Coturnix japonica: one gene and its partners. The main gene of each other region encodes a partner of the protein of the gene in region 7 in a complex. Links are inferred from orthologs where the notes say so. Each region holds a gene or a part of one and is shown on either strand. Other genes may lie near its edges. The genes, in order: POLR1C, RRN3, TBP, POLR1B, TAF1D, POLR2K and TAF1B.

Region 1 (4,297 bases), about 60 Mb from region 7:
GTTTCCTCTCCCTTTCCAGTGTCATTATAGCAATCCCAAACCCGGTCAAAGCACAAATGAATCACTGAGACTCGCCATACAATGATAGTGTCCGAGGTCTTCATCCCATGCAACAGGATGGCCACCAGCGTGAAGACCAGCATGAGGGGTCCGTAAAGCTCACCTGCAATCTTCTACATGTAAAGAGAGAGATGAGGCTTAGTTAGTGCTCCTGTCTTCCAGGCTCTCCACCCTGAGAGACATAACGAGCATCTTGGAGACTTTTATCACCCGAGGAGCATCTGCAAGGCCACTGCTGACAGAAGCCACACAGAACAGACTGTGATGAGTCAGAGTGGTGTTCAACAGGATGCAGAAATGGGCAAAGTGAGGTCTAGAGTTCTACAACTGTACCAGCGTTAAGGGTAGCAGGAAGGTAAAGGCAGCGCTGGCACAGGCTGTGCAGGGCAGCGGTCACAGCAGTGAGCTGGCTGGAGTTGAAGAAGCATCCGGACAATGATCTCAGCTATATGGTCTGATTTATGGGTGGTGCTGTATGGAGCCAGGTGAGCCTTATGAGTCCCTTCCAACTCAGGATGTTCTATGATTACAATTCTATGAGAATGGGGTTTGGAACAACCATAGGAAAGGGTTTACTGATACTTTGAGGGAGGTGAACATCTAACAGACTTGGATCCTTAATAACAGGCTAATTACATCTGAGGGGTCTCTGTGGAACAGTCACTCAGGCTGTGGGGTCTGGTTCAGTGAGAGAGAACTCACCTGTGGGAAACTGATCATCTTGACGGGCACCATGGACTCCAGCAACCTGCATTACGGCACAGCGGGGAACGACATCAGGACAGTCATTAAGAAGCAACAGATCCCGTGCACCCGCTGCCCTGCCCACCTGGTGCGCACTTGGACGGGCTCCACGTCGAAGTATGGCCGCAGGATGTCGATGTTGGCGTAGAGGCTGAACGCTTTGGACGCCTGTCGCTTCCCCACCTGCCACATCTGCGGACAGAACGGTACGTGCAGCGGCGGGGCCGGGGCCGGCGGGGCTGTTGGCGGCTCGTGAGCCCACTCACCTGGTCGGCCACCTGCCGGCCCAGCTGCCCCTGCAGCCCCTTCATGCCCAGGAACTCGCCGTCCTCTTCCCCGCCGGCCCCCGCCTCGCCCTCCGCCTCCTCGTCCTCCTCCTCCTTCATGCGCTGGTGCATCTCCCCCATGTCCTCGAAGCTGGAGCCCGACGTGTCGTCCATGTTCTCCATGTCGATGACGGCCGAGCCGCCGCCCTGCTCCGATGCACGGATCGTCAGCGCCCGCTCGGGCCCCTCTGTCCCCCCCCCCGCGGGCCGGCCCCACCTGCACGTTGTCCTCAAAGCCGCCCCACTCGGCGGTGCCGCTCCTGCCGCCCGCCGCGGCCATAGCGCCGGTAACGGGGGACGGCAACGCGGATGTGACGGTCCGGCCGCTCCGTGTCTCGCGAGAGCCGTCAGTTCCGCATGGCCGCCTTACGTGCGGCGGGGCGGGGCGGCGGCGCGTCCTTCCGTCGGCGATGGCGGCCCGGCGCGGCACGGACGAGATGCGGGAGCGCGTGGTGCTGGGCGAGTTCGGCGTCCGCAACGTGCGTGGGGCGGCGGGACGCGGGGCGGCTCCCGCATCACCCCCCGCTGCCTCACGGGCTGCGCCCCCCGCAGGTCCACACCACTGACTTCCCAGGCAACTACCCCGGGTACGACGACGCGTGGGACCAGCGGCGCTTCGAGGAGGTGAGTGGGAGCTGATGGAGATGATGGAGCTGATGGAGCTGCTGCTGCGGGGCCCCTTGTTCGGCTCCGTCGTGACGCGGCGCGGTTCCCGAGCAGGGGTTCCGCGTGGACGTGGTGCGGGAGGAGGACGGCGTGCTCGAGTTCGACATGGTGGGCATCGACGCGGCCATCGCCAACGCGTTCCGCCGCATCCTGCTCGCTGAGGTACCGCGGGGCTGGGAGACATGACGAGTGGATGGTCCCCGTGCGGTGCCCTGCTTGGCGGCTTATCGCCTCGCTCTGTCGTCCCCCCGAGGTGCCGACCATGGCTGTGGAAAAGGTGTTTGTGTACAACAACACGTCCATCGTGCAGGACGAGATCCTGGCGCACCGACTGGGCCTTATCCCCATCCGGGCCGACCCGCGGCTCTTTGAGTACAGGAATCAAGGTGAGGGGCTCGGGTCGAACAGCGGTGGGGAGGGTGGAGCCCATAACCAGGAGCTGGGGTCACACCGTAGGATCATGAAGGCCATCAGGTCCAACGATCCCACAACATACAGGGACTCCTACATCTGACCAGGTGCTCAGAGTCCTGCCCAGCCTGGCCTTGTAAGTCTGCAAGGACAGGGCATCAGCCGCATCTCTGGGCAGCCTGTTCCAGTGCCTCACCACCCTCATTTTCACCACTCTCACTCAGTAATAGACTTTTTCTTTATCTCTAAAGTAAATCTACCCTCTTTAAGCCTCAAACCGTTTCCCCTTCTCCTATCACAGCAGACCCTGCTGTAGAGTCTGTCCCTTTCTTTCTTGCATGCTCTTCCTAGGTGCAGAAAGGCCGCTTCCAGGTCTCCCTGCAGCTTTCTCTTCTCTAGGCTGAGCAGCCCCAGCTCTCAACCCATCCTCGTAGGAGAGATGTTCCATCACTGGGTCATTCATGTGTCCCTCCCCTGGATACACTTCAACAAAGCAGAATTCACTTCCATAAAGATACTGTTTTGCCATTTCCAGGAGATGAAGAGGGGACGGAAATTGATACTCTGCAGTTCCAGCTGAAAATAAAATGCAGCCGGAATCCTCAGGCAGCCAAGGAATCGTCTGACCCAAACGAGCTGTATTTCAATCACAAAGGTGAGAGCTCCTTGTGCCTGCCCTAAAAGTAGGTGCAGCTTTCTGCTTTTTCTCTTGTTCATTTTCTTCTTTCTCTCTCTTGGTGTTTTGCCTTGTGAGCAGAGACAGCTCATTTCCTCACAGTATACATAGCTTGCTTGTGCCATCTCCTATTCAGGTCAGCAACCTGTTTTCTGAGGCAGCAGCTGGCTGATGCTCGTGGTTTCTTTTGGCAGTGTACAGTAAGCACATGACATGGGTTCCCTTGGGGAATCAGACAGACCTCTTTCCGGATGCTGACTTCCGACCTGTCCACGACGACATCCTTATAGCACTGTTGAGACCTGGGCAGGAAATAGATGTGCTCATGCACTGCGTCAAGGGTGTAGGTGAGTGCTGGGTCTGAGCTGGGGAGTGGGTGTGCTGGTGCTTGGACTCGAGCACAGCTGTGTGATGGGAAACACTGGAGAACTAGCTTGACCCCAAGGCCTGTCCTCATCCTTAATTCTGAACTCTTTGTGCAGGTAAAGATCATGCCAAGTTTTCTCCTGTGGCCACAGCTAGTTATCGACTGCTTCCTGACATCACTCTCCTGCAGCCTATCGAGGATGAGGCAGCCGAGACGTTACAGAAGTGCTTTTCCCCTGGAGTCATTGAGATCCAGAACGTCAAGGGTACTTTCTTTCCAGCTGTAAAGTGCCTCGTTCCTAACAAGTCTTAGCAGTGACTGAATAGAGACAGTAGAGATTGTAGTCAAACCTTGTTGGGAAAATAACACATTGCGATGTTGTCTTGCTGATCAACAACAGTTGGTGCTGTTTTGAGCCTGGTTGTAGTGGCTGAGTGGCTGTCACACACAAATGTTTTTAGCAGTGAACTGAGATCTCCCTGAAATGCTTATGTGTTGCATGCCTGTCTGTAGAGCCCTGTGCTACTGTTAGGTGTCTGGGTAGCGAGCTTGCTCTTTGTAACAGCTGAGCACGGGGAGGACTTGTGTCCTGCCCAGGAGCACATACAGGCTTTGTGTTTGGCTTAGAACTGTTCGAGGAAATGAATTCTGCCAAGCTGGAGTTTCATGTTAGGGATGTGCTAATTATATGTGGCTTTGCTGCCTCTGCTGCTTGAGGGGTAAGTACTTTTTGTGACCCCAAGGTGCTCATCTGCTGCCGGTGCCCACCTTGTTTTGTCTTCTCCTTTTAGGAAAGAAGGTGGCAAGAGTAGCCAACGCACGGTTGGACACGTTCAGCAGGGAAGTCTTCCGACACGAGGGTCTGAAAAACCTGGTGCGCCTGGCCAGGGTGCGAAATCATTACATCTGTAAGTAGCCTGTTTTGTGCAGAGCAGAGTGCCCAGCCCGATTCTGCTTTGTACAAACAAGCAGGGGCTGGCCAGTGTGCATACCTTGGTCTCAGTCTTTCCCTTCTACTTGGCATCGTTATTCTTCCTATGTTTGTAT
Region 2 (3,500 bases), on a different chromosome or scaffold from region 7:
TATATATTGTTTATATATATTATATATATAAATATATAAAAATATAAATATATATAAATAATATAAATTATATATATACCATATATATATAAGCACTGTCCAACATGTAATTACAACATCAAATTAAAGTTCACCATTAAAATCACTGAGTGCACACCTTTAACAGCATAAAAATATAGAATGTATGAATACAAAATAGAAAGATTCTCATCTATTTGCTGAAATATTTTCAGTATGCACAAAAATAGTTAAACACTTGACTTTCCCCGTCTCAGAATCCATATAAAATACTTTAAAAGAGCATTAAAAATACATATATTTCTGAATATCAGATATACTGAGTATCCATAACTCAGCCTAAAGTCAACAAAACCTATCCATGCTCTCATATCAAAAGAACTTACACAACTGGAATAAATTTAGCTCTTGCTAAGAAGCTGCCAATGTAACTCCCAGCAGTTTGCCTTATCACCGAAGGATTATTTGGATCCTGCAGTTTTTTCCAGAGATGGTCTAAAAATGCCTCAGCCAATCCCTGGAATACACAGAAAACATGAGTAGTTATAGTAATAACAATAGATTGCTAATATTCAGTTCCAACAACTTGCTTAGTCAAACCATAGAAGTCTATAAAAACATTAACAAGTTTAAACAGGAAGTAACTATTAACCACCCCTGGAGCAGTAGAGATAGGATCCAATGAAAACAGCAGTAAGTTGAACTTTGAGAAATACATAAAGCGGTTCTTTATCATAAATAGTCATATTCCAAGACTTGTTGGCATACAAAGTACACAAATACCAAAAAATTATATCACTAAATAAATTTAAAAAGTGATGAGATACCTTCCCCTTGAATTTGTCTATCCTGCAATGCTCCTGCAAAGGAACGTCGCTTTTGTTCAGGAAGTTACTGAACTATTGTTAGAGACCGAGACGCTATTCTGACAAAGCACTATAATATGCTTGCTATATTCAAGTATTCTTTACAATACATCTGCTATCCACTGTCAGAGGTAAAAGATAATGCTAAGTGGATCTTCAGCTAATCTTATGCCAAAAGTACAGGTGTTTTTCTTTCAGAATGGTAAAGAGAAAAAATTGTCTGTTGCCTAAGAGATGGAAAAATGGAGGGAACAATCAGTAAATACAAATTCCAAATTGAAGAGCTAAACACAGTTTTTGGATGCTGATCAAATTTGCAAGATTACTATGCCTCAGGTTTAAAAGTCCAACTGACTCGTGTAAAAGACTTCTATTACTACATTCCTTCACAATGGGCTGGTTTTGAGCTGCTTGCCATTTATGAACAGCATGGGGAAGGTTGAAAATATAACAAATATAATAATAATAAAATATAACAGGAGTTTGAAAAAAGGAGTAACAGAAAGCAAGGAGAAAAAGGATACTAATAAATCCTGATATACAAACTTCAGAGAAAACATACTGTAGACCTATAGGGAAAAAAAGCAACTCACTCTTGAAGAAAATATAAAGTATAGACTTAAAGACACTTCATTTTAACAACACTTTGTACTCACCAATTTTAAGCTACAGATGTAAAATATGAAATATTGTACATGACAAGAAGCATGGGTTGGTAAAATGAGCTTGTCAAAAACAGAAACAAGATCCCGATACAAATCTTTTGTCTTGTTGATATCAAGCTTGCCTACACAACAACAAACAGAAAACAAAAATGAGTCACGTCAGTTTCATTCCTGCCCTCATGTTGTGAAAAAGGCATTTTATCTTCCTGAATCAGGAAGAAACAAGCAAAGCTACTGTCAAGCTAACTTGTAAGCTTACAAAGCGCCTAAAATAAAATGCTTGTAGTGAGACCTTCCAGAACTTCAATTATTCCTCATATACTTCTTTTTACATTAGATTATATCTGTGAATGTAAGCATGTGCAATACTGACAGGCTGCAAACGTGCTTCTTCAGAAGAGGCAAAAGAAAATACTAAAAAATAAAATTGCCTCACTAATGTGATAAAACAATTTTCTAAACATTCTGTTTTAAATAAGTCTAATATTCAGCCCCTTAATAAATGCTAGTGTAAGATTTGTGTTCCTAATAGATACATAAATAAAATCAGGTTTTTCCTTTAATACAAGTCCTTTACCACTTCCAACTGAGTGAAAAGCCTGGTTCGTCTAATCTACTACTTATGTTTACGATATTCAAAGGATCCACAATTCTAATACTTAAAACAGCAAAGCAAACAATAAAATACTGTGGTTAATTAGAAAGTTTTTCTGACCCCCCTAAGAAGTTTAATAGCACAGTGAAAAAAGAAAACTATTTATTCTTACTCCCAACACATTACACTTTGGGTACAGTGCCATATTTATGCAGTCAAAATGTCTCCAACTAAAGATCAGGCTGTTAATGACACCTTCAGCTTCAGTCAAAGCCCAGAAGGCACTAATAGCAGAACTCTACAACTAAAGGATGAAGACTCACTTTCTGCTGCTGCAATAGAGAATTCTTCGTATGTTTTTCCTATTTGTTAGAAAAACAAATTTATTGTTCCTGTATTCTTACCATCCACGTGGCAAACATCTTTAATATAGGCAAACAGGATGGTCATCAAAATATCCAGTCGCTCTGCAAGTGGATGGGCCATTCTCTCATTACTGGGAGAGACAACTTCGTTTTTTTTTCTTTCATCATCTTCCTCCTGGTAGGTAAGATAGTGCATATGAAGGGTGCGTAACCACTATGCCATAACTTAATTATAATTATATAGAGAAAAATGAAACAAAGTATCTATGTTCATGGTGAAGTTTTTGTTGCTGTTTTTTAAAGCAACACCAGTACAGCTCAGTCTAAGCAACATTTTTGTAAACTAAGTCAATTACAACTAATTCTTTAATAAGCTTTATATACAGCTGCCTGAGTTTTTTTCATAAGGAAACTGATCTACCATACATATTCTGGATATTTATATGATTAATTTTGGCATGGGGAGAATACATTAATCATTTGTCAGCTACTCAGGCTTGAAAATCTGTTTCATTTTTCCTGTTTACAGATCAGCTACAACAAAGCAATAATGTATTATTACAGTTAAGTTTCAGAGGATTTCAAAGGTGAAAATTCCACTAAAAAACTTAGCAAACAAAATAAACAACCATGTCAAAAAGTCCCTCCTCTGTAGACTTTTCCTCACTGTTATTGGCAGCTTCTTCAGCATCTTCAATATCTTGCTGGGGAGTACTAACCTACAAACAAGAAATTAAGTTTTATAAGACCATAACAGCAATATGAAACATTCCTGTTCAGTATCACAGAGTGGTTTGGGTTGGAAGGGAACTTTAATATCAACTAGTTCCAAGCCCCTTGCTATAGGCAGGGACACCTCCTCTAGACCAGCTTGCTAAAAGCCCCCTCCAGCTTCTCTCCCATCCCACAAGGAGGACAGTGGGTGCAAGCAAACTGCTGTGTGGTGCTTAGCCTGCCACGTTAAACCACAACAGCCCTATTCTGATGATCG
Region 3 (3,985 bases), about 51 Mb from region 7:
CTACACCTAATTGTACTAAAGCAATCTTCCACTGGACAGTAACAGAGAATCAAAGATACTACACAGAGTTACAGGCTCATTCTTCCATTTCAGTCCTTACAAGGTGCAGACTTACAGTTTGTAGCATTTGGGGCTGTCCCGGCTGTGAATTGCATAACCTTCACTCAGCCGTGTGTCGGAGGCAAACAATGCTGAAAGTCTTCCCCAGCGATCGCCAGCACAGTCCTTAAAGAAGAGCATTCATATAATTCACACAATTGGCACAACTTAGTTCTTAGGCAAGCGATGAACAGCCAGAAGAATAACAGAATGACCCGGGTTGGAAGGGACCTCAAGGATCATGTAGTTCCAACCCCCCTGCCTGGCAGGGCCACCAAACATACACATTTACTACATCAGAGTTGCCCAGGCCCGTCCCAACCGGGTCTTTGGAACACCTCCAAGGACGGGGCATCCACAACCTCCCTGGGCAGCCTGTTCCAGGGCCTAACCACTCTCCTAGTGAAGACAGAAGGCAAAACGACAACGAGCAAGACGCAGCCCAGCTCACCTCCCCCCGGCCCATCCCTGCCCGCGGCTCTCACCCGCCGTTGAAGGTGTATGGCGAGAAGCGGTACTGCACAGGTCCGCCCAGCCCATATCCCGGCTCCGGCCTCAGCTCGGCGTATCGCGCTGCGGACAGCATCCCTACGGCACCAGCCCTGCTGTCTCACGGCAAAATGGCGGCACCGGAAGCGAGGAGGCGGCGCTCTACGAGGCACAGGCACCTCGTCTCGTCTGCTCTGGAGGTACCACGCCCCATCGGCGGTGACCACCCGGCCGCATGGAGCCGTGCCAGCCTTCGGGCGGCAGGGCCGGCAAGCACAGCAGGCTCTCGCCATGAGCACACCAGCACACCGTGTGCCCCGGTGGTGCAGTAGTAGCAATGCCGCTTTGCAACACCGCAGGCCCTGGGTTCGAATCCCCCCTGTGGCGCGTGTGGTAGAAGTGCCGCTCTGCTACACAGAGGCTCGAATCCCGGGGGTTGGACTCGATGATCTCTAAGGTCCCTTCCAACCCGCACCACACTGTGACACTGTGAGCACGGCACCACACGCTGTGCCACGAGGTGCGAGTAAAGCCAACACCCCGCAGACAACAGCCCGCAGGCCCCGCCCTCACTCAAGATGGCGGTAAGAGGGGCGGGGCGGATTCGTGGCGGAAGTGACGCAATCGAGGCGCGCCGGCGGCGCGGTCTCGGGGCGCAGCCTGTGTCCCGCAGTTGCGGTGCTGGTTGTGGCGGCGCCGCGCGGCAGGTACCGGCCGTTCCGTGTCCCGCTCCGCCCCGCAGCCCACACGGCGCGGGCTGTGCCGCTTATGGCGGGGGGGGTGGCCGGGCCGAGCCCGCTTCTTACTCCCCGTGGGCGCCGCCGTAGGGTCGGGGTCCTGCGGGCGGGCCCGAGCGGCGGGGAGGGGGGGAGGGAGAGAAGGGATGTGCGGGGTGAGCGGGCCGCGGGCCGAGCGGAGCGACGGGAGCGATCCCGGTACGGCCGTTGGTGCCGGGGGCGTGATGGCGGCGGGACGCGGTCACCGCCTCCCACACGTGACGGCGGGCGGGGAACGCGGCGGCGGCGGCGGCCTTGGGTTCGGTACGGGAGCCGTGATCGGCCCTTGCCCTGCACGTGGGCCTGGTACCGGGGCTCGGCGGCTGGGTTCGGTGTATGTGGAGTCCGCGCGGCGTGTTGGGCCTGAGGATGGGCTGCCCGTGATGCTGGGTAACGGCTGGGCCCCTTCTTTGCACGGTGTGCAACGTGGAAACGCCTTTGGGTAAAACAGCGGGTGGTTAATGTGATACTGAGTGCCTTAAGGACGAGAGAAAGATGGGCAGGCTTTCTTCAAATGTTTCAGTGCTGTGCCTTAAAATGGCTTAGGAGCTCTCTGTGTAAGTGTGCAGTTAAGCTATAAATGAATAGGAAAAATATCTGATAAAAAGGCTTAGCATTTCATAATATAGCTATGCAGAGAAGGAGCTGGGTGTTTGCAGACAGCAGGTTGGCCATGAGTGTGCCCCGGTGGCCCAGAGGGCCAATGGGATCCTGGGGTGCATCAAAAAGAGCATGGCCGGCAGGTTGAGGGAGGTGATCTCCCCCTCTGCCCTGCCCTGCTGAGGCTCCATCTGGAGCACTGCGTCCAGTTCTGGGCTCCCCAGTTCAAGGCAGAACAAGGAGTAGTGGACACAAACTGCAGCATGGGAAGCTCCGTACAAATAGAGGAAGACAGAGCTGCCCAGAGAGGCTGTGGAGTCCCCTTCACAGTAGGTACTCAAAACTTACCCAGCCACTCTCCTGCTGTAGGGATCCTGCTTTAGCAGAGGATTGGGCTCAGTGATCTCTGGAGGTCACTTCCAGCCCTTACAGCGCCATGAAAGCATTTCAGTTCTCTATTTGTATTGTTTCTTTCCATTGCGTGCCAATAGAGGTACAGGTCTTTGTTTAAAAGGCAAAAAACAAACAGTAAGTGAAACAACACCCAGAAGAATACTTTCGTTTCATGCATATACCTGGAATTGGCTTTTAGTTTCCCTTTTTCCCCTCGTGAAGTACGTCATTGCAATTCAAAATACATTAGTGCTTTGCTTTATGGAAGTAGATGGGAGGAGGTTTCCTAAACCTGAGTTTACCAGCAGTATTTTCATATAGCAAAATCAAAAAACAACTTTGGAAGGCCAAGCCTTAACTCTGCCCAGGGGGAGATGTGTGAGCGAAGCGTGGCTTTAGGCTCGTCTGTCAGTAGCTGGTGGAATTCAGTTCTGAAAGTCAATGCTTTCCCATCTGAAGCGATGCATGCAGGACTGGAGCTGTGTGTGAAGGAGGCCTTCGTTGTGGAGGCGGCTGCTCACGTGCAGTGGATGTTCACCAGGGGCACTAGGGCTGTAGAAAGAGATTGCTTTATATAAGGTGCATGGGTGTGTGCGTGCGTATGAGTGTTCTCGCATATATTTGTATGTGGGCATTTCTTATCTAACAGACCAGCTGATAAGCCTGCTTTTGTTTAAATGTTATTCTCAAGATATTACTTCTTTTCTTTTCAGGCCCTGTTTAGTGTTTTAGACTCGCAACGTGTTTTCTCTGGAGCTGATGTTTTCCTGACACGTTTTCAGCTTGGCTAAAAAGCTGCTTTGCTGGAATGCTTTAGAGGGTCAAAAACCCTTTTTGGTTTTAAATTAATTTCAATTAATTGAAGGAAATATTTCTGGCCTCACCAAAGAATAACCGGAATCATGGATCAGAACAACAGCTTGCCACCCTACGCTCAAGGCTTAGCCTCCCCTCAGGTAAAAAGGGATGATGTGATATGCAAAAGCGGTCTGAATTTCTTTGTGGGAGTGTTTTCTGTGTCTTGTATGTTATTTCTTTGTGTCTTTTTTTGTTTGTGTGTTTGCAGATCTGAAAAATTCTACTGTATATAACTTACTCAGTAAAAAGCAGAGATGAAAAACCATTTATATATAGATAGATAGATAGATATGGGTATATATAGATATATATCCAGAGGTTTAAGAAATACACTGATATATTTATGGTTTTCATGAAGCTGAAACATTACTGGCATGTTGAAAATAAGAAGGTTCAGGGGAGACCTCATTGCAGCCTTCCAGCACTTGAAGGGAACTTGCAAGCAGGAGGAGGGGGGCTGACTTTTTAACATGGTCTAATAGCAGTAGGACAACGGGGAATGGCTTTAAACTAAAAGAGGGAAATTTAGGTTAGATGTTAGGAGGAAATTCTTTATTCAGAGAGTGGTCAGGCACAGAGAAGCCTGTGAAGCTTCTCTTGGCCAGAGAAGCTGTGGATGCCCCATCCCTGGAGGCATTCAAGGCCAGGTTGGATGGGGCCCTGAGCTGGTGGGTGGCAGCCCTGCCTATGGCAGAGGGTGGGACTGGATGGACTTTCCCTTCCAACTCAAGTCATTGTATCATTTTAACTTTGTTCATTGCTTTTGGAAT
Region 4 (3,500 bases), about 74 Mb from region 7:
GTTACTGAGATGCTTAGAGCAGTAGCTGAAGCACATTGTTACACGCAACAAAACGTCCTCGATTACCTTGGAAAGAGCTTCAGAGTAAAACTCAACCTTCCCGAGTGGTACAGCAATGAGCAGGCTGCGGATTTCATTTTCAAGTACGTATGTACATGTTTAGGAGTGTGTGCTTGTGCTATTGCATTGAAATTCAAGCAACTTTAGGAATACTCTGCCATATTATTTCACACTCTCATTACGGTTTTTGTACATGCTAATAAAATAGCAGCGGGTGGCCAGTTCTTGGTGGAACTTCAGGATACTGTGATAATCTATTCTGTTCAAGTTGAAAGAAGGGGAAGTTGTGTGGACAGCTTTAGTTTCAATAGGTTGAACCATTAGGGTAATTTGTGGCGTTTTATCTGCTGTTTCACGCAGTCATTAGCAACTATTACGCGAATTACACTTAAATGATAGGAATTGGATGTTTTAAAGTCTCCCTTTTTCAATGGAATAAGTTAGGAAGAAATGGAAGAGAGGGGTTTGAGATTGCCAGCGTGACAAGCATTCAACTAACTTTCTTTTTCGGGTAATACAGATTTTAGTTCTTTGACCAAGTGTTTTAGTAAAGTGTTTTGAAAAGTATCATTTGAGATGCCCAAGTCCTTGAGTACCTGGAAATAAGGAGTAATCATCAGGTGTCTAAAAGCACTGAGGCAATTTTTCAGTGCCTCAGAGAAGCACTTAGAATTGTTGGAAGAACAGCTCTTTGTACTGAGAAACAGCGGATAATTTCAAGAAAGTCATACTGTAATTTTCTTCAGTCTAAATACTCTCGTGCTTTTTGGTGGTGTCTTATTGTCCCGTGGTATGTTCTGTACGCAATGTTTGTCAAAGCTGTCTGCGCTGTGGAGATAAGAGCAATTGTGGAAAGCATCAATTGGGGTGTACTTTGCATTGTAACTTCTACCTGGCCAGAACTTTCTTTGAATGTTTGTTTTTATGGTGAAGTTGTACAGACTTCAGAAGAGGGCGCTATGGAGCAGAGGTACAGAGTGACCAGATCCTGTGTGCTCATATTCTGGAAGGTTGTTGTGCTTACATCTTGGAAAGCAGGTTATTTCTGTTGTCTTGGAAGGCAGTTTAGCAGCTTTACTGCTTGCATTAAAATGTCATTCAGCACACGTTTCCACACAGGGATTTGATTGCAGTGTTCTGTGATCTGTTACTAGTCTCCAGCTTGGATTTTGGGGTGGAGTTGGGCACATGTATATGGTTATGTAGTGGTGTTTGGTGTCATACCTGCTGCAAAATAATGTACAAATCTTATCTCTTAAGTGGGCCTGTGTATGTGAACTGTATACTTGTAAGGATGTGTAGTAGTATATGATATACATTTTTTCCATGAGGCTCACCTTCATGTGATCAACTGGCTGTATCTTTCTAGCAACAGGGGGAAAAAGATTTTGATATTATTTAGCAAACATGAAGAACTGCTGGCGTGACGAGCTGGTGTTAATTGTCCTTCTTTCTCTCCCTCCAGCAAGTGTATCTGCATACATCTGACAGACAGAACTGAAAAATTCTACCTGCTTTGTATGATGACCAGGAAACTGTATGCTTTTGCCAAAGGGGAGTGCATGGAGGACAATCCAGACAGTCTAATGAATCAAGAAGTGCTTACTGCAGGACAGCTTTTCCTTATGTTCTTAAAGGTAAGGTCATAAGGCCTGTGTATGGAGGGGTCATCCAATCTAGGACCTGCAGTGGCCAAGGAGATGGGAGAAATACAGAGCCAAACTGAAGAGCAGGGAGCCTTGGTATACTATAAAGACTTGAATCTAATGCAGCACAGCACGAACCGCACTAAATAGGGGCCTGAGTAAAACATGGAGTGAAAAGCTTTGGGACCTTCAACAGAAATGAAAGCTCAGGCTTGGAGTCTGGCGAAGGAGGAACACCAGCTCGGAGGGTTTTGAAACAGCATATTGCTGTTGTGTCAGTTGATAGATTAGTAATAAAGATCAGCCTCTTTGTGGTGCTCCTGCTGTGTCACACAGCAGATGTGCAAGTAAATAACTGTCCCATCCTCTTTCTTTGAAAATCAGTGATTTATATTGTCATTTCTACCCCGTCTTTGAGTTCTTTTACAGATCAGGAAGTTAGGAGTATACTTCCAATTTACACTGTTAATTTATTACTGGTGGTGTAAAAGTGCAGCTTCCTAAACTATTCCAGTTCACTTTGGATTCAAGTTATTTCTGGCATTTCTTCATTGTAGAATGCCAAAAAGAAAGTAATGCTCAGAAGTGAAATTTGTCAACCCCAAGTAATAAAGCTTCCCTGAGTTACCAGATAACTTGTAATCTTTCTTTGCCATGTTAGCCAAAATCTTTAGCATCGCTTTGTTGAAACAATTCTAAAACTTGTCTACTACATGAGTGGTTTCAATGGCTGTAAAAAGAGAATAAAAAATGAATTATGTGAAGCATTGTAGCACTTTCCCAATCTGGTACCAGGAAGCAGAAGGGATTGCTGTCCTGTCTGGCCCTGTCAGATAAGCAGAGGAGTGAGCAACCTCTCCTGTAAATGCAAAGACTCTAAATAGACTGGCTTTCTGTTGCGTAGATAACTGAGCCACTCATTAAAGTGTCTGTGTTCCTGTATTTAATTCAAGTCTCACATTCTTAAACCACAGGAGAGGCTTGAGAACTGGTTGCAGTCTGTTAAATTCGTTTTGGAGAAGAAAACAGAAAAGGCCAACATCACCATCAATGCAGACAGCTTGATGAAGGCGTTCGGTCTGACCACAGATGTTACCAAGTCATTTGAGTATCTTCTTGCAACTGGTAACCTGCGATCTAAGACTGGTAAGTCTTAAGGTATAAGAAGCCCTTTTTTTTACCTAAACAGCATGAGAAACAACATAAAACTGAGCAACATCCTGATGTAAACCTCTGTTTTGTTCCTCAGGCCTTGGCATGCTGCAGGACAGCGGTCTGTGTGTGGTGGGGGACAAGCTGAATTTTGTTCGCTACCTTTCGCACTTCCGCTGCGTTCACAGAGGGTCAGTGTTTGCCCAGATGAGAACTACCACGGTGCGCAAACTGCTGCCGGAGTCCTGGGGGTTCCTGTGCCCTGTGGACACCCCAGATGGAGAGCCCTGCGGTCTGATGAACCACATGACAGCTGTGTGTGAAATAGTGACAGAGATGGTTCCTGTGACAGACCTTCCACCTATGTTATGTGCTCTAGGTACAGTTTACTTGCTCAGTTATCTAATGAAGCAGTCTTCATTTTTACCTTTCTGCCCTACAAACCCATATGTGGAAAATGTTCTAGTAACTTGAATTAAACTGCAGCTCCTCCAGTGATTAGCACAGTGATGGGAGTTTTGTTTCATCCAGAAGAGTGCTGGGGCTGGATGGGAAATGGCATTCTCACTTGTGCACATTTTATGTTTTCCATCCAGTCTCCTCTACCACTTTGCCCTGTCCAGATGTTCTGAATTTTTTCTG
Region 5 (4,167 bases), on a different chromosome or scaffold from region 7:
AACAAAGATAATGGTTTAGTAATTAAAAACACACTGCTTTCAATATGCAATTTATCTGTCAAATTCACCCGAGAATACATAGATAACAGTAGAATTGTTATTATACCATTGAGGGAAAAACTGACAGCTTCAAGATTAGTGTTTTCTCATGGTTTAGTGGCAGCTATTAGTGGTTTAGTGGCAGCTATTAGTAATATGTGGATGGTTGTACTGAATAATCTTTCAGGTCTTTTCTAACCTTGGTGATTTTATGATTCTATGTGCTTTGGAAGCAGGTGTGCCTACCAGCTCTGCAGCTGCTTCAGAGCATTACATCTGTTAGTCCTCAAACTTCCATCTCAGTACAGACAAAATATGTAATACGCTGAACCTAATTCAAGGGACAGGTCAGTTATCTGTCCTTTGTAAACCCAAAGCCACGCTTTTCTAAGCACAATAACTGCCTTACCCGGTCTTCACTACCTTAATGTTTACTTTTCCAGCATTGGCTATGATGGACTTTCAACCTTGGCTCCCAGTTTCTTATAGGCACGTGTTTCCAAAGTGGAAGAAGGTTGTAGTGCATCTCAAAGCCAAACAAAGGCACCAAAGCAGCAGCAAGTTGTACAGCACTGGACTCTATATCAGCTCAGAGCCTTTCACAGCAAGCTTTGTTCAGAACAGAAATGTTGGAGCTTCTTTTGAAACGAGCTATATTTCAGTCATGCAACAGCATAACCTGCTACGAGGGCAAACCAGCAGCTCCAGGCACAAGCAGCTGGTTACATGCTACCTATAAACCAGCCCCAGAAATCATTAACTCCTTAGGCACACGCCTGCTGCACGTAACAAAATAGGAACCTTTCATGGAAGAAAAAGCGAGACTTTGAGCTCAAAGTTCAGCTACCTCAAGTTCTGCCTGTAACAAGCAATAGAGCAAGAAAGCAAGCTGTCTATGTAGAGTGATTTCCATCTTAGCTGGGGGCTCGTCCGCTTCTATGGGCGATTCTCCCTTCTGTGAAGGAAGCTGTCACAGGAACGCTGCAAACGGGATGGCAGGAAACAACCGACACGTCGAGACACTGCGGCTTTTCTTTTCCAAGCAGGAAAGGGCAGAAAACGGAAAGGAGAAGTTAATGGCTGGATAGAAACGCTTCATAGCGGGGGGCTGGGGGGAGAAGGAAGCACAGCCAGAGCCACAGAGCCAACAGGGACAGCGCCAACGTGCAGATGAACTCAGCAGAGAAGCGAGAAGGGAAATTCAGGCCACGTAAACGAGGGTAAAAAGAGTCTAAAAAGAGTCCCGGAGCCAAACCTGCAGGAGCCACCCTCTGGAGACCCACAGCGAGCGGGAACCGCAGCCAATGCCCACAACCTGCGGCCGCCCATCCCCGCCCCCCTCACGGCACTCCCCGCCCCGTCCTGCTCTCGCGAGAGCCGAGCGCTATTTAAGCTCGGGGGCGGCCATTGCGCGCCCTTTCCGGAGGTGAAGCGTGAGGTGAGTGTTGGGTTGGTGATGGCGGTGCGCTGAATCCGCTGCCATCCGCCGTGTGAGGACCCGCTGTGAGGCTGGGGTAGAATCAAAGCACATCCTGTCGCTGAGCGATTCCTAGACGGAGCGCAAGGAAGGCCCTGGGGCGGGTGGGATGTGGGAAATGGGCTCCTCATGGCGGCCCGGGGCTGTGGTAGAGCGGCGGGAACCGCGCAAAATGTCCGCCCCGGGATGGTGGGCGGGAGGGGGCTACTGTGAGGGAGACACATACGTTCCTTGGATGTGAAAAGCTTTGCCTGGGGTAAAACATATTTAATTTCTTTCAGGGCAGATTAAAACATGAGTGATACAGATGAATCCCACACCTCTTGTTCTGATGATCCTGATGCTCAGAGTCTCGTATCCACTCAGAGGCGAAAAAGATCTAAAATACCTGAGCGTGCAGTGAATGCAAGGAAGAGACGTTTGTGCTCGAGGCAGAAGGACGCCACTCCTGAGGAGTCTTCAGATGAGACTAGTAGTACAAATACATCTTCATCTGAGGTGGATAGCAGCGATTCAGAAATGTGAGTTACCTGGTTCCTTAGAATCACTTACGAACAAGACTCATAAACGTATGTGCTCTGTTGAATGTACACGTTTCTTTTTCAGTGATGTTTCAGCTGCTCGGGGCAGCAAACGCTCTAGGAAATGCACTGCTCCCTCTGCGGAGCAAAAGAGGAGATCGCAGCCTTCAAGGAAACAAGCAGGAGCTGATGCACGAGTGTCTGATGGTGAAAGTCCTGACTCTTTGCTCCCTGAGAGCCCGGTGAGGCCACCTGAACCCTCCCAAAGGAGGAAATCCAAGCTCGATTTGAAAGCCATTTTTGCCTATCACTTCAGAGGAAGGAAGTTTAAAACTGCTGCGCACCGAAGATACAGGAGCGGTGTTTCACGGAAGACAAAGAGACGCTCGGAACCCCCAAAGAAGCGTGGTGGGAATCGGCCCATGACAGCCCCGCCTCAGGAGCGAAGGAGAAGGCTTCGGGATCCAGGCTTTCAGTTCCCTTTTGTTGAAAAACATTATGGGAGGAAACATATTCCCGTAAATATGGTTCTTAGCTATGAGGTGAGCCCTGTGTTTTGTGGGAGAGAACCAGCTGACCTAAGGCTGTCATTTAATGTTACAGTCTGGTTGATTATATAAATGGTTCATTTCTTTGTTTGTATTTAAGATCTATTCCTTTTTTTTGCAGCAAGCAGCTGCGAAGGGATATTTCCAGTATGTTGAAATGCTTAAAGCTGAAGAACACCTCAAAAAGGCTTTGAAATCCCTTGAAGCAAATGAAGACTTAGAAAGGGAATGTCTGACAGCGCGGAAACATAAATATTTAGATGACAAAGGCCCCATTTCTCCTATCCAGGAGACAAAGTAAGTTCATTTTCAGTAGTATAAAAGTTGCTGTTTTGTTCTCAACTTAAAGTCTGTGTGTTCAGCATTGCTGTCTTTATTGTCTGGCACGTGCATTATATTAATTGGTGAAATACCTCTTGGATTTTTCTGTAACTCAGTAATGGATTCTGTTGGCTTAGCACTGCTGTGTTGTGTGCTCTCTCCTCATCCTTAAAAGAGCAGAGAGAGAAAATAAGTAACAGCTCATGGCTTTAGATAAGGATCTTGTTCCACAGGCTCTCAGTGTAGCCTCATGTAGAAGTGGGAGCATCCCAGACCTGTAAGCTGTAGCGTTTCCATATGCATTATGAGGAAGTGGTGCTGCATTAGGAGAACAGCTTGTTTATGCTGCGCTACTGTAGAAGTACAGATTTGATTTGAATTTCCTGCCTTTCAGCAATGACGATGATAACTGCTTGGGCTCTGATAATCCAGAAGACTTTGATGTCAGAGTAGTGGTGAGTAAACATCCATAATTTGAAAACTATAACCTGTTTTCTCTTTTGAGGTGTTAAATAAGTAACAGATGATGCTTTGAGTACTTAATTCTTGAGCTTGGATCTGGAATTAACCAGTTTGTGTGGTTTTGGTGTGTAGTACAAGAGGAAATTGGTTTGAGAGAAGTCTGAGCTCTTTGGAATTATGTTGGGATGTGCGGAAATTGGGCAGTTCTCTGAAGCGTCCATAAAACTTCCTAAAGGAAGTTAGTAATAAATTGGTACTTCAAGTGTCTCCAAACCAGACTTGAGAATGCTGTTTTTTTTTGTTCTCAGGACAAAAGCTGTTTCATTATAAGCAGCAAAATTCCCAACAAGAAGAAGAAATCAAAGGCCAAAACAAAGCGAGCAAAGTCAGCTGGAGTGATTGAAGAAGAATGCTGCTGCTAAGTGATCCTGCTGAAATAGCACCTTCCGCAGCCTGGCTTGTGGAACCAGCAGGTCACAGAGCTACAGGACTAAGAGTTCCAGCTCTTGTAATTAAGCAGTGTAGAATAAACTAATTCTCCTAAATCCAATATCATAATCTCAAGCTGCTTTAAAACAACTAGCAGTGTGATGAAAAGTTCTATTCCCTTCTTCCCCTCCTCAGTCCAGAGTGGGGTCTTACGAAGGTGACTGAGCAGAGATAGAAGCCCTTCAGCACAACAGGGACTATCTGCTGATCTTGTAGCATGAATGGGAACTTGTTGCGGTTGCTCAGACTAGATGTAGGAGTGGGGTTCTGGCAGGGTAATGCAGTGAGGTGGGTGTGGAGTCCTGCTCAT
Region 6 (4,279 bases), on a different chromosome or scaffold from region 7:
GTATCATACTGTACAGATAACAGTGAAATGACATGTTTGTCTTTCAACAGCCTCATCAGCACTGGAAACAAAATTTGGATTTGCAAGCATTTAATCAGGCTAAATTAGCACCACACACAAAGCAGCAGTGTTTTTTAAGACAAATTGGCGCTATGGGTATTTTAGTATTAAATATTCTGAATATAAATGTTCTGAACAGGAAAATGGATGCAAAAAGTTTGGGCTTATCAGTACAAAACGGCAACCACTTCTTAATACAGACTCATGAGAAATCATCCGAAAAGCAAAATGACGTTATTTCAGTTTTACCTTATCCAAGGTTTCTTTATACTGTAGACCTACTTATTTTAGTGAGTACAAGCAAGGTCACAAAACAGCCTGAGAATCTCTATTTACACATTTATTTTTATCCTGATTTGGGTCCTGTCGAGTTCAAATCCAAATTTCAGACCTGATTTTGCGTGACTTTCAATATGTCTTCACTGGGATTTATTCAAACCAAGATTATCTTATGCAGTTCACAGGAGTCCAAAAAACACTGAAGAGCTGAAACACAGGTAAGGCTTAGGTGTGAGCTGTGAAAACAAGGTTAACACTTAACTCAAAAATGAATATAATACCAATGAATTTAACAGAATGCTGCACATTCTGACTAAAGTTTAAGGAAGAAACCCATTTCTAAAAGTAGTATAGACAGAATTGAGATGGTATGGCAAGTAGTATCACAGTGAAGTTTAATATTTTAATATCTTAAACCACTAAACTATGCATTTATACACCAATGGATTTACAGAGCAAAGTTGCCAGAAATATTAAACTGAAGTATAAAATTGATGTATCTTCAGGTCAAATCACCGGGCATCAAAAACCACCACTGGAATTGTGCAGTTAAAGAAAAATGCGTTGCAGTTCAAGGAAAGATCAGGGGAGGAAAGGGGTCAAGGAGAACAAAAAGAGGGAATGCATAAATCTGAAGTCAATTTTCTTACACAGCTTGCCCCACAGCTTCCCAAATGCATTCGACTGCCTTTGTAAAAGGATACATCTTTTTGTTCTTTTCTTGTACATTATTCTGTACCCACACTCTCGGCATCTGATCGGATCTCTTGCCTTTATTTCATTTTCTGTATGACATTCTGATATGATGGAGAAGGAGAATAGCAATGAGTGAACAAAAGCAGCATATCTAAAGCACAGATAGCTTTCAGATGTAACAATGGTCTAATTCCTTTTACTAGCAAACAAAGCATAACAGAAAATAATTGCAGTGAATTTTAATAAGTAACTGAATTATATTAAGATACTGTTAAGGAAAAAAAAAAAAAAAAGAATTGGCAAACTTAGATTGCTAAAAAGTATCCAAACATTACTGTACCATTCCACACTCCACTAATGAAACCTTCCTCTCAGCCCCTCCGAGCCACCAAGTTTATTTTCTTAAGCCTAAATTTTTCTGAGGCTTTTAAAGTGGTTACTCAAAAGCTCCAATTTTCACTTTATTAACTTATGTTTAGGTAGAGAAAATCTGACAACTGTGCATTAGTGAAAGTTGAATGACAACACTATTTCCAAAAAAACTTTGTCTCCAAGATGCAATATATAAAAGTTCTGCTATCATCCTCTAGAGATGCAGGACCCCCACACAGCAACAGAGGTTCTAGTGAACGACTTCCACATCAATAACCACAAGTAATCCATGCATATGGGAGCATCAGTGCATAAAGCTTAATGCATCATCAGGATCCACAACCCAGTTATGTAGATTTCTGTACTCTGTGGCACTATGACTGCACATTCCTCATTATTAGAGCATTGAATACCACTAATGTCTTTTCTTTACCTCCACAAATGTAAATCATTGGCTGCTGCTTTGGGGGCTGAACGTCCTTCTGTGAATCCATGTTCTAAGCAAAAACAACAAATAAAATACATGTTTTTTGTTGTTGTCTTACACAAATATTTCAATATCTCCATCTAAAGTTGACAGAAATTGAAAAAGTTCTTTTAAAATAAATACAAAAATATTCAAGCTCTGTTTAATATATGCTACATAAGATGATACACATTGGAAAGGACTTCTGTTTGTCCTGGCACGCTAACCTTTTGCCTTCAGGTTCACCAACATTCCTTCACAATATCAGACAACTACTCCACAAACAATTCATTTTTTAGCAACCCCCACCTAACATGTAGGTATTACTGCAGACCTACGTTTTAAGGTTGTGACCATACAGAGAAAGAAAGCATTTTTTCTCCCCTTCTTGATAATACCAGGACAAGGGGAAATGGATTTAAGCTGAAAGAGGGTAGACTTAGGTTGGATATTAGGGGGAAGATCTTCACTAGGAGACCAGTGAGGTCCTAGAACAGGCTGCCCATGGAGGTTGTGGATGCCCCATCCTTGGAGGTGTTCAAGGCCAGGTTGGACGGGGCCCTGGGCAACCTGATCTAGTAAATGTGTATGTTTGGTGGCCCTGCCAGGCAGGGGGGTTGGAACTACATGATCCTTGAGGTCCCTTCCAACCCAGCTCATTCTATGAGCCTATGATTCAATGATCCCCCCCCAGCCCGCCTCGGTTCAGCGCCAGCCACGCCTCCTCCCCACTGACCCCCAGGGGCTTGGTCGACCCTTTCCCCACTCCCCCCTCACCCCGAATCTACCACCACCACCAACCCGGCAGGGATAAGCCGAAAGCGGCACCAACCTCCACACTCCTCGCCGTCCCCTCGGCGCCGAATGATGGCGTCACTACGCAAAGCCGGAGGGGGCGGGTCTGCATCGCCGTCCTTAAGGCGCTGTGTCGGGTTTACAGCGGATAGCGGCTGATGGAGCCTTGGGGGAGTGAGAGTTGGAAGCGCTAGTGAGCTGAGCCTGGCGCTGGTAACTAAATCTCGGTACCCTGCGGTCTGTGCCATGTATTCCCGCATTGAAACAAACTGGCAAGCCGCGGTGCTGTCAGTCACCGGCTCAGCCCTACAGCTGGGCGAGTGCTGGGTGCCCCTTAGGCGTCCCTGTGTGAGTAATGGCACGTCCTCAGGTACGTAAGAACGTATAACAAATACTGCTCTGTAGATAACATCTCCCTGATGTGAGGAAATGCGTCTTTCCGAACGCCGAATAACAACCGTCTCCTGGGGAAAGCTAGAAGTAATAACAACGTGCTAAGGATTTCTAGGCGGCTCATCGGCTTTGTCTTGCTGCTGTGCGAAAATAAAGTTAAGTGTAACTTCTTAGTGCCGGAATAAAACACATGTAAGAATAACGGGACGTGCACGGCAGTGATGTTCGCTGCCCCGGGTCCTCCGAGGTGGGAGCTGCTGCCGGGAGCAAAAATCAACCAACCAAAACGGAACGATCCCTTCCTCCGGTGATGGACACAAAGTAATTAACACCTCACAAGTAACTAATCACTGAAATTAAAGTAAAGCCGATAATCTTTCCCCGCACTCGTTTTGTATTTTAAAACGGGTTTGACGAAATGATTAAAGCATCGAGGTGATGCTTTAAAACCTACTTACTAATTATACCCCATGAGAAAAAAATATATATCGATTGTCCCGAGAAAATCATTCATTATCTTGATTATATCCATCATTTAACTGCTCCCCGGTGGGATGGAGTCTTTTTAAACGTCCATTACTTCTGTGCCTCACGCCGCCTCCCTCGGGGTATAGCCCCGTTCCGACGGGCTGATAAACGCCGGTCCTGAAGAGAAATTCTTCCGACTGGCGTGAAACTGCTACAGAAAGCACTTTGGGAAACCCTGGATTCCATTTCTAAACTCTTTAATTCGCATTCTAAAATGGAACGAGGAACCAGCGCAAAAACCCTAATGTTTTTACCCGTTACAGTTACCCTCCGGTCGCACTACCCGTACACCGAGACGCCCCGTTTCCCCGCTCTGGGGGGGATGGAGCCCGCCCTGCTCAGCCTTAGTTACCACGGAGAACCTCCATCTTTCTGCCCTGGGTGGAGGCGTTACATTCGGAGTTACTCCCAACGATTTAAAGCATGTTTTATCTCACAGTGTTTCTGGTGGAGCCGTAAGCGTAAACCATGAAAGAAAAAACAGAAGTTCTGTATGATTATCTAGCTCCTGAGCTGTCGGGTACAAATAAGCTAATTAAAATGAATTAATCAGCACCCTTACATCTCAGATTTTAAGCTCTTGGTGCAGACAACGTTCCACCTGTGAGGGCTCGGGCTACCCGCTGAAGGTGCCTCCCGCCCGACTCTGAGAAGCTGTGAGCAGCGGGAACGCCTCAGCCCGGCTCCTGA
Region 7 (3,500 bases):
CACTTGACCAAGCTTAGTGTGCTCAGATGAATAATAGCTGATACTGCACTGTAACGATCCAGCATATCTGGCATATTGTACTTGCAATACAGCCATCCTCTCTCTAGTCTTTTTCTTTTGCTGTATAAAATATTTCAGCTCCTACATCTCAAGACAGCCTGGAAGCAGTTGTAGCTGTAGCTTCCTTGCGTGTGTCTGTGAGTGTATGTTCTGCAGACTGCACATGTACACAATGCTGTTTATGCTCAAATAAAATGTGATTGAGGTATGTGTATATGTGTGAGTGCATCACAGAGCTGTGCATTTGCCAGTTGACTCAGCCGTGTCGATGCAGGACTAGCAGTACCAGCCACGTGGACGGTTAGTGTCATGTCCCTGACAGTGGGCTTCCTTGTGACAGATGTTGGAATAATTTGTATTAAGTTAAATACAAAAATTATTTTCTTCCCACAGGCCAACCTCCCAGCACCCTCTGTGCAGAGGAGTTCGAAACAGAACTTTATCCATGTCATTGCATTTTAATAACTGACGGGTCTTTCTTCCCCTTGTTTGTCCATTTCAGGCCAGCTGTAGTTCTTGTTTGTAAGGCCTCTTGTGGCAGGATAACTTGAGTAGCAAAAGCATAGAAGACATACAGAACTTTGCTTATAAGAACAGTATATTCACCTTCAGAACAGTTTGCCAGCTAGCTCTTTAGAAGTGAGCATGATGCAAGCATCCTTGCAGAGCAGCTGGGGTGATGGGGAAATGCAAAGCCTGGTTAATTCATGATGCAGATAATACACCCACGGATAATAAGAGTTGGTTATTTAAATTTACCCTGCACCATAGTTCTGTTCACAGTTCTTATACTTATTGTACCCTGTTGATCTACTTCAATCCTGTGCCTCTCTGGAGTATCAGTGGTAAACATGCTGCTGGAATGACTTATGCCTTAACGTTTTTGCATGCACTGCTATGTATTTGTTCACATATCAATGAGTGAGAATCCAGTGTATGTGGGACGCTGGTACTCAGTGAATACAATTGTCTGGATTATCCTTCTTGCCTTGCAACATCTCATGGGCAGCAGGATGGATGGTGTGGGGTTGGGGGTTGGACTCGATGATCTCTAGAGGTCCCTTCCAACCCCTACAATTCTGTGATTCTGTGACACTGCTTCACCTCCTACATCTGAGCTTCAGAATTTGTTTAGAACTAAGCTTCTACAGTTTCATGAATTCCTTGAAGTCAGATTTCAAGCAGAGGAAGAAGACCAGTTAGTGTTGTGGAGATCTAGTTCTGGTAGCAATTACACTTAACTTTCAGAAAGGAGGGAGAAGGATTAACTTGTCTAAAACTAGGAAACATATTCTGAGCAGAGGTGTTTCTTCCCACCTCTTATGCTGTTCCTTTCTAGTATTTCTGCTTTTCATTTTCTCTGTCTTACAGAAATGTTGGGTTAAGTGTGTTTTCTATAAGCAGATGGAATTAAAGATTTGCCTACAGACGGGAGATGCAGAGTCCAACTGCATGGTGACCACATTCTATGTATCACATTTCTTTCACTCCTTCACAACCTAAAACTAAATTACGAATGTTTTATTCAGGTGGCCCTTATTTCGAGTTCAAAAAGTGGTACAAGGTTATAAAATGTACCTTGGATGTGGAGCAAAAAAAACTGGATGAAGAAAAGGCCAAGTAAGAGATTTTTAAGTACTGGATAATGATAATAGCAATATTAAGGTAGATGATTGTAAGTGAAATCCTGACCCCCCACAGGAGCTGAAAAAGTTTGGACTTTGCTCCAATGTTCCCATCCTGCACATTTAGGTGAACAGTGATTCCATCCGTGTCTCAATTTTCTGTTTACAATAATGATATTTATCCAGCATGTTGATTAAACACTGTCTGTGACAAGTAGCTTATATAATTGAACAATTAACTGATCACAGTGAATCTAGGCTTACATTCCTCCATTTATCTATGCAGAAAAAGGCTGCTGTATGTTTTGGAGGAGGTGTCTTTTAATGGTGTTAACAACAGATTATTTTGTTTTTATTTTAATAGCTGTATCTAATTAAGAAATTACGATTTGACTTGCTTTTTCTAGTTTTCTTTTTCCTAACAGTTTTTATTTCTCTTACTTGTAGGTATCTGTGGAAATGTGAAAAGCCCCTGTTTTATTCACTCAAGAAGAAATCTAAAATCCTTAGGAAAAGACGTGAGTAAACTCCACCTCTTTCCGCCAGCACAGAAGTCTGCCCCAACTTTTCCCATCATAGAAATTCTGACTGTAATAATATTTACATCTTAAAATACTTTCCCTTCAGTCTTTCATCTCTGGGCACAATGAATGTTGTACTGTTTTACAACCCGTGGCTGGAATTCTTCAATCAGACGTTTTCCTACTGCTTAACTGAAACTGCAGCCTTCACAGTGATCTACTTAATGTAGTCTCAGAGTTAGTACTTTGTCCTCATCTCACTCATCTGTCAGCTGCCTTCGTATTACTGTGCTCTTCATAATTTTTTGTTGATCTTCCATGGCTTTTCAGCTCCTCTCTCTTTCCACGTATATATCACGTTTGTCCTTGGGTAGACCCTCCTGTCCCTCTTTTCTCCTAGTTACTCTTGCAGTCTTCTACAGAAGGTGAGAAGGATTTCTCTGAGTGTGGTTTTGCTTGAACAGCTGGTTGTTCATGGTCAGAATGAAGATCCCTTCCTTTTAATATATATGGAAGTATAAATTAATTACTTGGTTTGGAAGGGACCTTAAAGATCATCTAGTCCGAGCTCCCTGCCATAGGCAGGGCTGCCACACTTCAGATCAGGAACCCAGTGACTGGGTTTTACTATTCCATTTAAAACAAACAAAAAATCCACCAAACAGAAACAAACAAACAAAACCAACAGAGACTGCACTCATCCTTGTAAATAGGAAAACAGGAATTTTATTAAACTAAATAAAACCTGAGGTTCTTCATTCTACTTTTGATAGTAGTAAGCAACAGGTAGTGGGAGAGAGGTGTTAATGTGGCAAGTGATGTTTTTCTCCTTAGATACTCTTCCCGTTTCTGGAAGCGACTGATCCAGGAACTTTTAAGCTCGTTATTATACTCCTGTTTAGTTTGAATAATTCATGTTAGACTTACTGTGCAAGAATGCATTGGGTTTTTAGTAATGTTTTTATCCTTCAAAATTCTGTAGTGGTGATGTCGCAGTTAAGTCACATTCTGGGTAAAAACAGATTTGTTTATTTCATTCTGAAATGGTTTCCTCAGGAGCAATTTAGTTCCCTTGTCAATAGGAAAAATGAAAAACCATTTGTTGTTCATTAATTCCATGCCACTTTATATTCTCCGTCTGGATCTTGTTCTCTTTGAGATAGGAAAGAACCAACGGGATCATTGAGTTATTGCAGCCAGGAATCTCACATCATATCATTTCAACAAGGCAAGATTCATCTTAAGTTTTAAATAGTAGAGACAAGGAATGCCTATACAAAGAGTCCCCTAGAAC

Evidence for each region.
Region 1: TAF1B (region 7) and POLR1C share a complex: the UniProt entries of both Homo sapiens proteins name them as parts of the pol I pre-initiation complex. The link is inferred for Coturnix japonica from reciprocal best matches to the Homo sapiens genes TAF1B and POLR1C.
Region 2: TAF1B (region 7) and RRN3 share a complex: the UniProt entries of both Homo sapiens proteins name them as parts of the pol I pre-initiation complex. The link is inferred for Coturnix japonica from reciprocal best matches to the Homo sapiens genes TAF1B and RRN3.
Region 3: TAF1B (region 7) and TBP share a complex: the UniProt entries of both Homo sapiens proteins name them as parts of the transcription factor SL1/TIF-IB complex. The link is inferred for Coturnix japonica from reciprocal best matches to the Homo sapiens genes TAF1B and TBP.
Region 4: TAF1B (region 7) and POLR1B share a complex: the UniProt entries of both Homo sapiens proteins name them as parts of the pol I pre-initiation complex. The link is inferred for Coturnix japonica from reciprocal best matches to the Homo sapiens genes TAF1B and POLR1B.
Region 5: TAF1B (region 7) and TAF1D share a complex: the UniProt entries of both Homo sapiens proteins name them as parts of the transcription factor SL1/TIF-IB complex. The link is inferred for Coturnix japonica from reciprocal best matches to the Homo sapiens genes TAF1B and TAF1D.
Region 6: TAF1B (region 7) and POLR2K share a complex: the UniProt entries of both Homo sapiens proteins name them as parts of the pol I pre-initiation complex. The link is inferred for Coturnix japonica from reciprocal best matches to the Homo sapiens genes TAF1B and POLR2K.

What each region holds. Positions count from the first base shown.
Region 1 is NC_029518.1:27,798,784-27,803,080, reverse strand, and holds the start of POLR1C (DNA-directed RNA polymerases I and III subunit RPAC1), read left to right. Parts: upstream 1-1,497; 5' UTR 1,498-1,540; coding exon 1,541-1,609; intron 1,610-1,682; coding exon 1,683-1,754; intron 1,755-1,850; coding exon 1,851-1,958; intron 1,959-2,049; coding exon 2,050-2,182; intron 2,183-2,742; coding exon 2,743-2,862; intron 2,863-3,077; coding exon 3,078-3,230; intron 3,231-3,365; coding exon 3,366-3,515; intron 3,516-4,041; coding exon 4,042-4,158; intron 4,159-4,297. Other genes in the region: protein YIPF3, read right to left, coding at 81-173, 763-808, 890-996, 1,071-1,277, 1,348-1,410. UniProt on the Homo sapiens protein: DNA-dependent RNA polymerase catalyzes the transcription of DNA into RNA using the four ribonucleoside triphosphates as substrates.
Region 2 is NC_029529.1:37,331-40,830, forward strand, and holds part of RRN3 (RNA polymerase I-specific transcription initiation factor RRN3), read right to left. Parts: intron 3,229-3,500; coding exon 3,139-3,228; intron 2,685-3,138; coding exon 2,549-2,684; intron 1,672-2,548; coding exon 1,541-1,671; intron 536-1,540; coding exon 405-535; intron 1-404. UniProt on the Homo sapiens protein: Required for efficient transcription initiation by RNA polymerase I (Pol I). Required for the formation of the competent pre-initiation complex (PIC).
Region 3 is NC_029518.1:36,564,474-36,568,458, reverse strand, and holds the start of TBP (TATA-box-binding protein), read left to right. Parts: upstream 1-1,185; 5' UTR 1,186-1,295; intron 1,296-3,070; 5' UTR 3,071-3,259; coding exon 3,260-3,313; intron 3,314-3,985. UniProt on the Homo sapiens protein: The TFIID basal transcription factor complex plays a major role in the initiation of RNA polymerase II (Pol II)-dependent transcription.
Region 4 is NC_029518.1:13,948,877-13,952,376, forward strand, and holds part of POLR1B (DNA-directed RNA polymerase I subunit RPA2), read left to right. Parts: coding exon 1-143; intron 144-1,525; coding exon 1,526-1,697; intron 1,698-2,680; coding exon 2,681-2,852; intron 2,853-2,955; coding exon 2,956-3,237; intron 3,238-3,500. UniProt on the Homo sapiens protein: Catalytic core component of RNA polymerase I (Pol I), a DNA-dependent RNA polymerase which synthesizes ribosomal RNA precursors using the four ribonucleoside triphosphates as substrates.
Region 5 is NC_029516.1:166,172,873-166,177,039, forward strand, and holds the start of TAF1D (TATA box-binding protein-associated factor RNA polymerase I subunit D), read left to right. Parts: upstream 1-1,367; 5' UTR 1,368-1,477; intron 1,478-1,797; 5' UTR 1,798-1,810; coding exon 1,811-2,037; intron 2,038-2,122; coding exon 2,123-2,579; intron 2,580-2,706; coding exon 2,707-2,882; intron 2,883-3,300; coding exon 3,301-3,361; intron 3,362-3,676; coding exon 3,677-3,790; 3' UTR 3,791-4,167. UniProt on the Homo sapiens protein: Component of the transcription factor SL1/TIF-IB complex, which is involved in the assembly of the PIC (preinitiation complex) during RNA polymerase I-dependent transcription.
Region 6 is NC_029517.1:116,286,560-116,290,838, reverse strand, and holds POLR2K (DNA-directed RNA polymerases I, II, and III subunit RPABC4), read right to left. Parts: upstream 2,801-4,279; 5' UTR 2,781-2,800; coding exon 2,706-2,780; exon of another isoform or gene 2,675-2,705; intron 1,905-2,674; coding exon 1,841-1,904; intron 1,137-1,840; coding exon 1,044-1,136; intron 875-1,043; coding exon 852-874; 3' UTR 386-851; downstream 1-385. UniProt on the Homo sapiens protein: DNA-dependent RNA polymerase catalyzes the transcription of DNA into RNA using the four ribonucleoside triphosphates as substrates.
Region 7 is NC_029518.1:87,994,937-87,998,436, forward strand, and holds part of TAF1B (TATA box-binding protein-associated factor RNA polymerase I subunit B), read left to right. Parts: intron 1-1,589; coding exon 1,590-1,680; intron 1,681-2,132; coding exon 2,133-2,203; intron 2,204-3,500. UniProt on the Homo sapiens protein: Component of RNA polymerase I core factor complex that acts as a GTF2B/TFIIB-like factor and plays a key role in multiple steps during transcription initiation such as pre-initiation complex (PIC) assembly and postpolymerase recruitment events in polymerase I (Pol I) transcription.